Alligator mississippiensis: one gene and its partner. The protein of the gene in region 1 interacts with the protein of each later gene in a biochemical or structural test. Links are inferred from orthologs where the notes say so. Each region holds a gene or a part of one and is shown on either strand. Other genes may lie near its edges.

Evidence for each region. The genes of interacting proteins can lie anywhere in the genome.
Region 2: the proteins of TBP (region 1) and DRAP1 are reported together in a solved structure, tested with the Homo sapiens proteins (2 studies listed by BioGRID, with this or other methods). The link is inferred for Alligator mississippiensis from reciprocal best matches to the Homo sapiens genes TBP and DRAP1.

Annotation. Positions count from the first base shown.
Region 1 is NC_081824.1:147,741,247-147,749,186, reverse strand, and holds the start of TBP (TATA-box-binding protein), read right to left. Parts: upstream 3,005-7,940; 5' UTR 2,778-3,004; intron 1,125-2,777; 5' UTR 939-1,124; coding exon 885-938; intron 1-884. Other genes in the region: PSMB1 (proteasome subunit beta type-1), read left to right, coding at 3,212-3,321, 5,201-5,308, 6,615-6,696, 7,346-7,475. UniProt on the Homo sapiens protein: The TFIID basal transcription factor complex plays a major role in the initiation of RNA polymerase II (Pol II)-dependent transcription.
Region 2 is NC_081838.1:4,274,695-4,281,745, forward strand, and holds the start of DRAP1 (dr1-associated corepressor), read left to right. Parts: upstream 1-4,035; 5' UTR 4,036-4,103; coding exon 4,104-4,145; intron 4,146-5,184; coding exon 5,185-5,257; intron 5,258-5,425; coding exon 5,426-5,519; intron 5,520-6,270; coding exon 6,271-6,396; intron 6,397-6,985; coding exon 6,986-7,051. Other genes in the region: C15H11orf68 (UPF0696 protein C11orf68 homolog), read right to left, coding at 1,290-2,015. UniProt on the Homo sapiens protein: The association of the DR1/DRAP1 heterodimer with TBP results in a functional repression of both activated and basal transcription of class II genes.

The sequences.
Region 1 (7,940 bases):
CAATAAGAACTTAATATCCCTCAAAGTGTATTTTACTTCACAGAAAAAGTCTCACAACAGCAGTTCCCAATCTGTGGTATGGGTACTACCAGTGGTACGCAGACAACCTGTCAGTGGTAGCATTAACAGATTTATTATAATGACTTTATATGACAAAAATTTGCTGGTGGTACTTTAAATTTAAATTGGTGGTATGTAATCTGTCAGTTTGGGAACCACTGAAATAGAGATAATGCTTTCTCTTCTCCACCAACCAGGAAAGGATTATTCAGTGTCAGTGTATGCATACCACAATGCCTTGTTCGAATACATTTCAATTAGAAAAAAACAAAAGCCAGTGAGATTTTGGGTCATAAGATGCATTTCCTTACAAATATTAAGGATTTGTTTTGCAAATATCTGACTACACTGAAATAATATTTTATCAGAAACTGGAGACACTTAAAAATGCTACCAAAGCTAAAAACAAATGAATGTTTTGATTTGGATTTGAGCATTTTCTCTCTCAGCAAACCCCAGACACAAACCCCAGATTTTACAGACTACTGCCAAAACCATTGTGCTACATTAACTAACTGTGAAGTATTCAAATTAACAGTGTCTCTCAGAATAATCACAGTTAATTCAAGTCAATTGTCATTTAAGTTTTGACTATAAAAGGCTAAGGGACAGTCCAGTTTGCTTTTAGCCTAAAATTTCAAACAAGTTTCCATCAAGCAAATATTCCTGGGACTGCAGATCACCACACTAAGCTGTTGTAGTTGTAAGCATTTATATAGTCAGCATCTAATGGAGTTATTCATGTTTGTTTACACATGAAACTGAAATCCTTTCTGCAAAGACTTTTATCCTGCACTTAAATTTTTTAAATATCTTATTTTTACCTGAGGTGATGCCAGTCCTTGGGCATAGGGCGGCAAGCTGTTGTTCTGATCCATGATTCCAATTACTTCTTTGGTCAGGCCAGAATTATTTCCAGTAATTCAAGAACAATAATTCCACACGATAAAGAAGTCGTTTCCCCTAAAGCATTCCAGCAACTAGATTTTCAGCCACTTCTGAATGATTATTAAAAACATTAGCTCCAGAAAAACGTGTTGCAAATCTAAAACACAATTCAAAACCTGAAAAAGATAGAAAACACTCTTGGTAACAGCACCTTTAAAAATGTATTCAGCCGCATCTTAAGTACATTTTTAAACACATTTCTTTGTACACACCTGTGCTGCCATAGAAACAACCCTTCCCCTAAAAATCTGTCCATACAAGTGGCTTTACTTACATGAACAGACCCGTAGGTTTCAGCAGGACTGCACACACAAGTGATTTCAGGACTGAACCACTGTTTATGAAGACTTCCAAATATATCAGCAAAATGTGCTTAAAATTGTTTAAAGTCTTACCATAATTACAACCTGGATATCTTTAAAGTCTTACCATAATTTTAAAGCGTTCACGAGTTCCAGGCAGTTGGAAGTCATTTAAGAGCAAAATCCTGTTACCCAAAAAATGACCAGGGAAACAACCTCCTTCCCCAGCCTGAACCAGCATAAAGCGCTGAGGCATTTCACCATGAAGATGCACAAAAAATGTTATGAAAAACTAGCAGACAGGGTTATTTGGGCAATGCACTATTCTCTCAAGTGAATTTCAATGCTAGGATGTGTTCCTTTAGCAACAATGTAAAATACTGGATTATCACTGCAATATTAATATTTTATCAATTCTTCTTACAACTTACTGTGTGATCTTTTATTAGACCAACCCAATAGTTGGAAAGATCGTTTTTTGCAAGCTTTTGGGCACAAGCACTTCTCCAGGCATGGGGAGACTCTGCTGGTGTTTGTGCACTCTCACGCTACTATAATAGTAATAATTATTATTATCGTTATCCTATTAAAAAATGCAAGTCTACGAAACCCAAATGTGCAGCAATGAGGACAAGAAGAGATGAGAGTCTGCAACAGCCGACTCCCACGAGAAAGGAGCGGTTTGCCGAACTGCCCTGCCTGCCCGCTGGTAGCACACCAGTGCGCTGCAACCAGGCCGCTCCTCTCTGAGGCCAGATGCTGGGTGCATGCAGGCTAGGGCGGCCATCATAGGGGACAGTCTGGTTGTCCTCTGTCCTCTACTGCTATGAAACCCCATGCCTTTATGTCCTCTATTTTTCTCTTCAAGAAAGAGAAGTCAGGTTCCTTGAAGAGAAAGGCATTGGGTCTCTTGAAGAGAAAAATAGAGGACATTATGGCATCAGGTTTCATATCAATAGAGGATGGAGGAACAGAAAAGCAGACTGTCCTCTATGATGGCCACCATAGTGCAAGCAGGTATGGCTTTCTACAGCAACCGCTTCGCCGGGGAGGGGGAAAACTCCCAGGTTTCTTTTCTGGCAGCAGGGAAGCCTGGAGAAAACCTGCTCACCTAGTACTATAATTATTATTTGTAATTTAATAATATTTCCTTATAAATAATTGCTTATTTAATAATAATCTATAAACAAGTGAAGCATGAGTGTGCCCACGTGGATGCGTGAGGCGCGGGTCCCGCGTGGGGTGGGGGGGCAGAACCGTTACCCTGGGCTCCCCCCCCCCGCTCCCCCAGCGGCTCCACGGGGGGACGGGGTGAGGGCCCTGCAGCGCCCGGCGGGGGGAGACGCCAACGGCCGCTTGGAACCAGCGCTCGCGCCGCAGGCGGGCGGGGAAGGGCCGCGCGGGCCCGACATCAGCAGGCTCCGCCCCCCACCGCGCGCGAAGGGGGAATAGAAGCGAGGCCGGTACCTTCCGCTCTAGGCCCTCCGCCCGCTGCCCGGACCCAGCGTCGGCTGCAGCACCGATGGTAACCCCAGCCTACACCGCCGCGCGATCAAAATGCGTCAGTTCCGCCCGTAGCAGCCTTTATTTCCCCCTCCCCTCGAATCCCGCTCGGCGGCCATCTTGAGAGAGGGCAAAGCAGCCTACTACACGGCTCCTCCCGGAGCTAGGGAACACCGCCCCCGGGGTGACATGCTTGGGAAAAAGGTCCTGCCAGCTCAGCGCATGCGCCGCACGCCGCCCTATAGCTGTGGAGGGGGGTGGTTCCCCACCTTGGGAGCAGACGAGTTGGAGGGGGAACCTAGAGCGTCTTCAAGAGCGAGGCTGGGAGGACTTCCGCTTCCGGTGCTGCCATTTTGCCGTGAGACAGCAGGCACGGCCTGGATCGGAGGCACTGCAGGATGCTGTCGTCTGCGTTCGCTGCTGGCTATGCGGAGCCCGGGCTCAGGCGGGACTGCGGCCTCGGCGCTGCCACGAGCCACCGCTTCTCCCCCTACACCTTCAACGGCGGGTGAGCCGCCCCGGCTGCCTGCCCCTCCCCCGGCCGCCCCTGCCTGTCCCCGGCCGCGTGGGGTCCCCTCCAGCGGCGGAGGCGCCGCCCCGCTTGGAAAAGAGGCGCGGGGGGGAGGTGAAGGGTTTGCCGGGCGGGGGGTTAGGATGGATGATCTACTGAAGTCCCTTCTGACCCCCAAAATCTTTGAGGTCGTAGGTTAATAACTAAGGCATCAGAAGTGGACGCCGAACCGAGCACACTGGCTAGCACCTCTGCCCCTTGAAGGGGTCGAGGGAGTCTGTGGACGCCGGTCAGTGACACTCAGTGTGGTGATGTGAACGGAAGAGCGCCAGGGAAGTGGCCCCGCACTTGCCTGTGCTTCTCCCGACCACAGCCTCCTTCCTGGTCTTACAGATGGCTAGTTTGGCCAGGAGGTCCCGGGACGTGGTGGGACTGCGGGCGGGAAGTCTGTGAAAGAAAAGGTGCAGGGAGCAGTGTAGCCAGGCCCTCAGCAGGAGGTTCTGGAGGAGGTGGAAGAGGGGCAGCGACCAGGTGCGCTTGAAGCAGGCGCCCTGTGACACAGGAGATGGGGAGAGTGGACCCGTGCTCTGACCGAAGAAATAGCAGCTCTTATGAGCAGTTCTGTCCCTTTGTGCCATATCCAGGACTCATGGCTCTTAACAGACTGGGCTGCAGCTTCCCCCTGAAACTTCCCAGAGATGTGAGCAGATGAGTGAGAGGAAACAACCTCACACCAGCCTGAGATTCCCCTGGCCAGAACCTTGACTTCCCACAGGAGGTGGTAGGAGCTGGTAGCACAGCCACTTTCAAAAAAGGGGCCTGGGTGCATTCATGGAGGATAGATCAGTTAATGGCTTTTGAATGGTATGGTAGATGTTTTCTCTGGTGTCTCTAAACCAAGAGTGGCAGATGCTAAGGAGGGTGATGAACAGGGGATTGATCACTAGGTCTGGTTTGATGCTCCCCCTTTAGTTTCCACTTCTGACACTGTTGAAGACAGGTCTATTTGCTATGCCAAGGGAAACGTTGGCCTAGGCCCATCGCAAAAACTATAAGCCTCCCTTGTTCACTAGAGGCACGGCAGCTGATTACCCAGGACACCTCAAAAGAAAATGGGCAGGACTGATGGTTACAGGTTTATAACAAGACTTCTGAAGGGAGGGCACTGAGCAGAGAACGTGGGGCTGTACTGAGCTAGATGGACCATTGGTCCAACCCAGCATGGCACTTTACGTTCTTAGCCTGATGCACCAGTAATTGACTGGTCCAGAAGCATTTTCATAGTTTGGACTGCATTTTAAGGCAGATGGTGCCAAGCAGCTTTCCTAGTTCATAAGCCCACAGTTCACATGCAGCAGCTATGACAGTTGGCTATTTGAAAAGAATATGGGGGGGGGAATGTGAGAGCATTGCTCCTTAATTACAGATTTGCCTCGTATCTGTGGGCTGTTTCATCTTGCCATTCGTAAGGCTTTCTATTATTAGGGTTGAATTACTGCCAGTTTTTAGGCTGGTTACAGTGCTCACCAAAAGCTTCTGTCACCTTGCTAGTCTGCTGAATTCCTCTGATTTCTGTAAACTTAATTATAACTGAATTTACACACACATCCCACATAGCATGTAGATGTAAATGAGCTGCAACAGTGCGCTTTTTGTTCCATTTCTTAAAAAATGAAAAAAGAAAACAAATCTTATGCCATGTAGGAAGAAATAGAACTTCCTGTAGAATGAAAGCTGCTCCATCACTGACAAATCTTTTCAAACCAGACTGAGAACCACTCATTTGGTGTGCCTTTTCCTCTCTGTTGAGTGAATGTTTATGTTAGAAATTGTAATTCTATATTGATTTACTTTTTTTTTTTTTTTTTTTTTAAAGGACCGTGTTGGCAATTGCTGGAGAAGACTTTTCTGTCGTTGCCTCAGACACACGACTGAGTGAAGGTTATGCAATTCATAGCCGGGACAGTCCCAAATGCTACAAACTGTAAGTTTTAATCTTGGGCAAAGTAAAAACTTGCTTATAAGATCTGTTCCACTGATTAACTTAGTAACCTGTAGAGGGTCAATGACTAGCATTTTCATTTGCAAAAGGACGTTTCAGTAAGAAAGCAATCTGGCTGCATTTGTACTCTCTTGTAATGCCATAATTGAGATCATATTTCTTAGTTTGACTCTAATACTTGAATTTCACTGACAAAGGATGTTTTTCAATACCAAATTAGACTTGATTTTAAAAATACAAGCTAAGTAGACAGACTATTTTTTGGATGAATACCAATGAGAAGATTCAGTTAATTGTAGCAGTGCTTAGCTCTGCAGCAAGTGGCTTTGTTTCTTCTGGATGCCTGGTAGTTGGGACACAAGTGCTACCACTGCTGGCTATACCCCAGGTATGTCACTATTTCACTGTTGCTTCAGTAGACCATCTGGCACTTCAGAGCTGTCTACTTCACTGGAGACCATCAGGGAACCTGTCAGCAATTCCATTATCAAACTTGTTTCACATTCTTCATATGCTTCCTTCAAAGCAGCTGGATAGTGTCCCCTTGGTTTCAGCAAGTTTATTGTTACTTGCATTTAAATGCCTCACTCCCACTCTAGGCTGCCACTAGCTACAGAGGCAAGCCCTCTGCTATCATTGGCACAGTTCTCAGGGGTTCAGGTTTCTCCTGGCTAGCTCCTTAGCATATCAGTAGCTTCCTCGTAGTATCAAGATAGGTTTTCTTGGCACCATCTCTTGTATTGAAATAAGTAGCTTTGGTAATACTGACAAACATGAATTAAGACAATATTTTCATCTTTAGATTGTTGAAGTTAATTGTGCTCTACAGCTGTCTAGATGACATCCTATGAATGGTATATTTCATAGTTGAGTTTGTAAATGCTTTTAGGTTTGAAGTATCTGTCTCCCTCTAATTTTTAATAATGGTTTAATATTAAAAACCTGTATCTGTATAGTTTTTTTTCTATTCCACCTCAAAGCACTGGTAAAATCTGTAAATCTGGATGTAAGGCAAATTGGTTAAATCGCATACCCATCAAATTACCTGGCAGAAGTGGGATTAGAATTTTTTTCTCCTATTTTACAATTTTTCACTTTTAACCACTCATCTGAGTGGCTTCCATTTTGGGGGTCTGCAGATTCCTACTGAACAGGCTGATGCAATGCATTAAAGGAAGCTAGGTATACAAATATTCCATGTTTTTCAAATGATTTTATGCTAGTGGTGATATGATAGTTTGTAGTCATGGGGCACGCTAAAACATTTTCCAAACTTTGCATTTTACAGAACAGACCAAACAGTCATTGGATGCAGTGGTTTTCATGGTGACTGCCTTACGCTTACGAAAATTATTGAAGCAAGATTAAAGGTAGTTACAATATTAATAATGTTTTGTATGTAAAAAAACAAAAAAAAACCCAAAAAACCCAAAAAACAAAGAACAAAAAAACCCCAAAAAAACCCAACCAAACAAAAAAAACAAACAAAAAAATTGTAAGAACCTTACTCTTAGTCAAGTGTAATAGAGCAATAATGTGACCAAATGAAGAACTTAAAATGTAACTAGTGAATTAAAAAGGGTCATAGTTTTGATTCGGGTGTTCTCCTGACATTGGTTGTGTCCAGTGTAATGCAATGCTTCCTATTTTAACTGAGTAAAATTAAAAATATTGAATATGCAAATCTTGAAGCTAGTTTTAATACCCTAACAGTACTATAACCAGGTAATGATATCTGTTCTTTCAAAACTTGTAGGACACAAATTTGGTGTCTGAACTTCTGATACATTAGGCAAGAAAAGAAATGCACCACATTTAAATTTTGACAAACTCATTTTTAGACTGATTATTTTTAGCAATCGTATGCATTCCAGTCGCAACTTCTGCTTTGTCCATCTGCTTCCTTTTTAATAAAGCACAGTATGAAAATTTCTTTCTGTAAAAATAATCTTTAGAATTCACTCTATATACACTATTGTTTTAGTATTTAACCTGCTTGTGTTTTGCATTTGATTGTAGATGTACAAGCATTCCAACAACAAGACGATGACTACTGGGGCTATTGCAGCAATGTTGTCAACAATCCTGTATTCTCGACGCTTCTTTCCTTACTATGTTTATAACATAATCGGTGGACTTGACGAAGAAGGTAAGACTTAAGTTATGGTGTGCGGGGAAGGGAGAGGGACTCATTTCTGGAGCTGAAAACTAGTTGTTTCAGGACTGAAGCAGACTGGTAGAGAAGCATAGAGACAGTTGTGGTACTTCTGTACTTACATAGAGTATGTTGCTCTTCACTTACAATATTTGAGGATCTCAGAATAGTATATAAAAAGCTATCTTAATGTATTAGTCCCTTTGGAAACTGAACATGACTGTCCATCAGTTTACCTGTTTCTATGCTTTCACAAGGCATTTGATATATCATTGTTTTTCTCTGAACAGTTTGATTATGTATTAACTCAAAGAAACTGAGAGCTGTTAGAGATCATCTGCATAAGCAGAGTTTTATATCATGTGAAACAATAACTTTGATAAAACAGGTTCTACCTTTCTGTCTTTTCATGCTTAATATTTTAAGTAGGAATGAAATATACTGCTTGTCTTTCAGGCT
Region 2 (7,051 bases), on another chromosome or scaffold:
CCAGGGGTGGGGGGGACAGATTTAAAGCTTATTTTTATGCCGCTAATAAACCCGAGTCAAATGCGGATCCTGGGCTGGCGTCTCCCTGCTGCGCCCAGACTGGGGATGACCCCGGGGGGAGGGGGCTGTCTCTGCTTAGTGGGACCAGTCTGGGGCAGGGGATTTCAAGGGCCTGTGGCCGAGATGGGACGGGGGTGAGGGGGTAGAGGCAGGACGCCTGGGTTCTCTCCCGGGCCTGGGAGGGGAGTGGATGCTGGGGTAGGGCAAGAGCAGGGGAGGCTGGGAGCCAGGACACGGGTCTGGAAGGAGGTGGAGGGGAGACTCAGATCCCTTCCTCCTCGGGCTGCCATGACCCGGCAGAGGCAGGCTTGGAGACATGTAGGTGCCTAAATCCCTTGGGCCCTAGTCTGGGATGTCCCCTCTAGTACCCCAGAGCCAGGGGTCTGCAAAAGCCTTGGGTGGGGGGGGGGAAGAGGAGGAGCCAGAGGGAGTCAAGAGCTGCTGATTGGCTGGAAAGGAGTCATTTTTATTGAGCTTTGTGACCTCTTGGAGCTTTAAAGGGCCACTGCACCAGCCTCACTGCAGGGCTCTGCATGAAAGGGGCAGCACCTTGAGAAAGAGCCCCTGCTAGGGGGCAAAGAGCTGTGGCACTTTAAAAACAGTGGGTGGGGTGAAGTGGGGGGCAGAGCCCCTCCAGTACAGGGCCATGAGAGAGTTAAGCTGCCAGAGCTCCTGGACCACACTTCCCAGCAGGCCCTGAGCCAGGGAAGTAGTGCATGCTGGGACTTGTAGTCTCCACCCCAGCCCCAGCCCAGCCTGTGCATGGGGGCATGCCTACTAGCCCCTCCTCACCTAAGGAAGCAGTGTAATACTGGGATACAGGACCTCAGCCGCACAGCTCCAATTCAGGGGAATCAGACCCCACAGGAGCAATGCATGGTGGGACACACTGCTCCAGTCCAGGCAGGGCCAGAAACCCCCCCCCCCCCCAAGCAGTGCATGCTGTGACATGTAGCCTCACTCCCACTTCAGGTGAGGGGGGCAGACAATCTAAGGGAGGGGCAAGACCCTACACCCCACACAGAAGCAGTGCATGCTGGGATAAATAACCTCAGCCCCACAGCTCCAGTCCAGGGAGGCAGATAGTCCAAGATAGGCAGAAGGGGACAAGACCCCCACCCCCTCCACAGGAGCAGTGCATGCTGGGACACAGAGCCTCACCCCATTACTCCAGTCCAGGGACAGGGGGGTGAACAGTCAAAGGGGGGGGCCGGGCCCCCCCACAATGCTTAAGTGACCTCGGCATTGGTAACCTTGTTGAGGACGCGGGAGCGCCGGGGCACGCACTCCAGGTCGAAGCGGCTCTCGTAGATGGTAGGGCAGAGGCGCCAGCGGTTGTCGCGGTAGATGCCCAGGTAGGTGTAGACATCGGGCTTGTAGGCCAGCGGGCACTTGACGCCAGCAGCCCGGATGGCAGCGTCGGCAGCTAGCACATGCTCCTCATCTGTGAAGTCATCCGTGTAGACACACACCACGTGGCGCCGTTCACCATCAGGGTGGCAGGGGCTCACCTTGGCCACAGTGAAGCGCCCGTCCAGCACGGCCCGGGCCACACCAGCCCAGGCGTGGTCCACCTTGAAGCCTGTGTCCAGGTGGATGAGCCACTTGCCCGTGAGCACGCCGTGGTTGAGGGCCAGCTCCCGCACTGTGGTGTGGGTCACGGAGCGGCCGCTCAGCTGCAGCCGCTCCCACGCCTCCTGCAAGCCCACCACGTCACCCGCCTCAGGACTGTAGCCGGGACCATACACGGCAATCCAGCCCACGGGCCGTGGGCCATAGCGGGCCACACGGGAGGGCGGGTAGGTGGCCAGCCATGCCTCAAACTCGGCCCGAGGGGTGCGCCGGGCATCAAACACCACCCACGGGTCCATGTCGGCTGCCATTGACTCGGCCGCCAGCTGCTCAGCTGAGAAGGGGCCATCCCGGCCCCCGTCGCCCTCATCCTGGTCTGACATAGCTGCTGGGTCCTGGAGCAGGCACCTGCCAATGCGGGGGAAGGTAGGGGGGAGGTATGGGAAAAGGTCAGGTGTCACAGCTGCCTTATGGGAAGGCTGGGAGGCAGGTGGGCTAATTAGTTTGGAGTGACAAGCTTGTTAGGGTGAGGAGCGGGCAAGGTAATTAGCTCTGAGAAAGGGGCTCTAGCTTTGCACTGGTCAGGCTAATTAGCTTAGGTAAGAGGCAGGCAGACTAATTAATTCTGAGGAAGAGGCTCCCTTGTTTGGCAGGGGCCAAACTAATTACCTTAAGCAGGGGGCAGGCAGGCCAATTAGTTTCAATTAGGGAGGGCAAGCTAATTCAGGTATGGTGCAGGTGGGCTAACTGGCAGGTTGAAAGGCTCATCAGCTTCACATAGGACAGGCAGGCTAATTACCTGGTCAAAGGGGTTTATTTTCAGTAATTGCCCTAGGTTTGGGGCTAATTCACTCCATCAAGGGGCTCTTCAACTTTGCACAGGAGCAGCTAATCAGCACAGGCGGGTGGGCTAAGCTGACTGAAGAGCCTGACTGTTTTGGGAGCTACCGTTAGGGGAAGGCTGCTTAATTAGCCCGAGGATAGTACAAGCGGGCAGGCTAAACAGCTCCAATTGGAGGGGGATGGTTAATTAATTTAGGGTGCAGGCAGCTAATCAGTTGCGATTGGGAAGGGGGCTGGTTAATTAACTTACAGCACAGGGCTAGCTCCTCGGTTGTACGTTTAGCGTTGGTCGGGGGAATCCACAAGCCAATTAACCGAGCTATTAATTGGCTAGCAGCAGGGCTGTCCCTAGGGGGAGGTGAACAGAGGCAACTGCCCTGGGCCCCATGATTTCGGGGCCCCCATGGAGCAGCAGCTCTGCGTCCAGCCGCTCGCTGCACCCCACCAGCCTCTTTGGGTCCGGGGCCCACGGGAGCGAAGCAGGGGCAGGGCCCCGCACCCTGCTCGGGTCATCTCTGCCCGGCAGCTCTCTGCCCGGCAAGTAGCCCCAGAGAGCTGGGCTGGGCTGGGGCTCAGGGAGCGGGAAGGTGAGGGCTCTTTTACCCCCTGCCCTGCGGAGAAGCCCTCCCACCCCCAACGGCTTCTGATTCTGCCCCCCCACCCGGGGCAATCAACCCGCTCCCCCCAGCTGCCTCCACCCCAGGGCACTCAGCCGTGGAGGGACCCGTTCTGCCCCTGCCACGGGGGCCGCCTTACCTGCGGCAGAAGAAGGGAGCCGGGGCAGGGGGCTGCTGCCTGGTGCTGCCCTGGGGGAGAGAGGAGGCAGGTTGAGGCCGCCCAGTACGGGGCCCTGCCCAGCACCAGGTGCCCCCGACGTGCCCCCCAGCCCCATGATCAGCCGGCCCCGCGCCCCCAGCCCCCCCCCCCATAGGAGCCCCCCCAGCCCCATGTGCCAGGCCCCCTCCCCCAGTCGCTGCCCCGCCCCCGTGCCAGGCCCCCCCAGCCCCTCCCCTAATACGAGCCCCCGCCCTCACCTGGCCCCTCTCAGCGGCCCGCGGCCGCCGCCATCTTGAGGGAGGGGGCGGGGCCGAGCCCGGGGGGAGGCAACGGGGGGGGTCGGACGGGGGAAACCGGAAATGGCAGAAGCCGACACGGAGGTGCACGGAGGGTGAAGCAGGAAGTTACGTCTGGACAGAGGCGGAAAGGAGCTGCTCGGGAGGGGAGGACTTCCGGGAGAGGAGGGGGAGGGGAGGGGCTGCAATGAAAGGGCGGGGCCTCCGGGGGCGGGGCCCGGCTCGAAGGTTGCGGGAGGTACCTGGACAGCGCGGGGCGGAGTCAGCGAGACTAGGGGCGGGGCCCTCCCTGGCGGCTGGGGGAGCCCGGTGTGGGGGTAGGGGCGGGGCGTCCCCAGGCCGGGTGCGGGGCGAGCCGGGAAGGCAGTGTTGGGACAGGGCGGGCGCGGGGCAGGGGGCGGGGCCAGGCTGGGATGGGCGGTGCTAGGGCGCGGGGCAGGGGGCGGGGCCAGGCTGGGCGGGCGGCGCTAGGACCGGGCGGGCGCGGGGTAGGGGGCGGGGCCAGGCCGGCGGGCGGCGCTAGGACCGGGCGGGCGCGGGGCGCAGCGGGCCGCGATGCCGAGCAAGAAGAAGAAATACAACGCGCGGTTCCCGCCGGTGAGCCTGGCCCGGCGCCTGGGGCCCTTCCCCATCCTGGCGGGTGGGGGCTGCAGCCCGGACGGCGGGGCCCCTCGGGCGCCGGGTGGTCGCGCCTGGGCCCCTCCCTGGGCCCCCCCCCGGACGCCTCGGTTCCTTTCCGGGTCGTCCCCCCCCCCCGGCCACCCTGACCCCAACCGCCTGTGACCCCTGACCCCGCCCTAGCCGGCCCCGCCCCGCCCCGCCCATCCCCCGGAGCCTGCGCCCCTCTGGCCCCCTTCCCTGTGACCCCGACCTTCCGCCCTCGCCCCCCTCGCCCCAGGGCCTGTGACCTCGGACCTCGCAGCCTCCCCCGGGCCCTTCCCTCCTCCGGGGCTGGCCCCGGGGTATCTGTGGGGCCGGGCGGGTACGCGGCCCCCTGGGCTCCTTTGAAGACGAGGGCCTGGCCCGCATGCCTGGGCCCCTTCCCGGCACCCAGCTGCCTGGGGCCCTTTCTGGGGCCAGGGCCTGGCGCCCGGGTCCCTTCCCGACACTGGGGGTTTGGCAGCCGGACACCCCGGTTCCTCGTGGAGGCTCGGGCCCGGCAGCCTGGACTCCTTCCTAGGGCCGGGTCCAGCGCCCGACGCCTGGGTTGTCTGGGGCTCTGGGGGGGGGCTGGGGGGAGAGGGGTGGGAGCCGGGACACCTGGGTTGTCTCCGGCTGTGGGAGGGGGCAGAGGAGGCATGGGGGATTGCAGCTGAGTCTGGGGTGGGGGCACGGGGAGAGGAGGTCCGTGGGGGGCGTAGCGTAGAGGCATCTGGGAGCCCCCCGGTGCTGGGGGGGCGTGGGGCCCAGTGGATCAGAGCAGGGGAGTCTAGGAGCCCGGCTGCCTGGGTTTGATCCCCAGCTCGGCCATGCGAAAAGGTGGAGAGCTGGGATGCCGGGCACGTGGATGTCTGGGACCTCTGTCGGCTCTGGGAGGGGAGTGGGAGGAGGGGAGAAATAGCCCTGATCTGGGCCTGATCCTGGGGGGCTCTAGCTCAGGCTGCCCCCCCAGCTCTTGACCTGTTCCCACCCCCAGGCGCGGATCAAGAAGATCATGCAGACGGACGAGGAGATCGGGAAGGTGGCGGCTGCTGTCCCCGTCATCATCTGTATCCTTGGCAACGCCTGGACGCCTGCCTGGGTTCTCTCAGGGTCTGGGAGGGGAGCGGGGGCTGAGGGACCGGGCGGATGCCTGGCTTCTCTTGGACTCGGGGAGGGCAGTAGGGGCTGGAGCCCGGACACCTGGGGTCTCTCCCTTAACCCCTGCCTTGCCACAGCCCGGGCACTGGAGCTGTTCCTGGAGTCGCTGCTCAGGAAGGCCTGTCAAGTGACGCAGTCCAGGAACGCCAAGACCATGACCACGTCCCACCTGTGAGTGCCCCGGGTCCCGTCCCCTGGGCACCTGGGTGATCTGCCCGCTCCAGGAGGGGACTGGGGTCTAGGGGATTAGAACAAGGCGTGGGAGGGATCTGGGCTCTCTCCCTGCTCTGGAAGGGGAGTGGGCTGGGGGTGAAAGCGGGGGGGCTGGGAGCCCGCATCCCTGGGTTTCCTCCAGCTCGGGGAGGGGTGGGTTCCAGGGCAACGTTTCTCAATCTGGGGGTTACGACCCAGAAGTGGGTCGCAAGAACATACGAAAGAACAAACTTGAAAGTGAATTCTCCTTTAATGGAGATAAATGTGGGCACCGCGGCTCTTCCCTTGCAGGCGGGCAGAGCTCCAGCCTGCAAGGGGCTACTTGGGCCCTCTGCCCCACGCACTGGGGGCCGGGGCGTGGGGGAGCGGGTTGGGGCTGGCCGCTGAAGTGTAGAAATGGGTCCTGGTACAAAAAAGGCTGAGAATGGCTGTGCTGAGGGATTAGAGCAAGGGGCGGGAGGGGTCTGGGAGCTCTCCCCCTGCCTCACCGTGTCCCCTCTGGACAGTCCCAACCTGGCTTCTGTGCCTCAGTTTCCCCACTTTCAATCAACATGGGCTGGAGGGGCCTGGCAGGGGCTGTGAATCTCCCTGGCAGGGGGAAGTATCCTGCTGGGGGCTGTGGGAGACCTTGGGGATGTGATGGGTTGGGGGGAGGGGTGGGTTGTGGCTTGGCCCTGCCCCCTCTGACCCCCTGCCCCTCCCCCTGCAGGAAGCAGTGCATCGAGCTGGAGCAGCAGTTTGACTTCCTCAAGGACCTGGTGGCCTCCGTGCCCGACATGCAGGGGGACGCTGAGGACAACCACATGGAGGGCGAGCGGGTCTCCCGCAGGTGGGGGTCAGTGCAGGGCAGGGCCAGCAGGGAGTGCTGGGTAGTGAGGGGGTGGAGCCAGGTCTGGGGGGGCAGGGCTAGTGGGAGAGGCTGGGCTGCAGGGGTGGAGCCAGCTCTGGAGGGGCAGGGCCAGAAGGGGGTGCTGGGTGTAAGGGGTGGAGCTAGTGGGGGTGGAGCCAATGAGGAGGGGGTGCTTTAGCTCCACCAGCCCTTGTTGCCCCTGGAAAGCTAAGCAGGGTTGAAGAGGGTCTGTGTGTGGATGGGAGACCACCACTGCCCCTGCTCGGGGACACTTTCCCCATCTAGCACCTGACACCCCTTGGAAGCTAAGCAGGATCAGCTGGGATCACTTTGTGGATGGGAGACTGGGTGCCAATGCCCTGGCAGTAGGGGGTGCTGCAGGGGGGCTCTCTCCTTTTAGGCCCCAATACCCTGGGTGGGGGGTTCATCTGGGCTACCAGGGGCTCCATTGCCCCAAATTCTGAGACCTGCCATGCTGCACCCCAGAGGTGGCTGCAATTTGACTGCACCTACTGGGATTCAACCTGTGGGGGGGGCTCGGCAAGGGACTCTGATGCCTGGTGGGTCTATGCAGGGGCCGGAAGCCGGGCAGCGGGAGGAAGAACGGCGGGACAGGGGCCAAGGGCAAGGACCCTAAGCA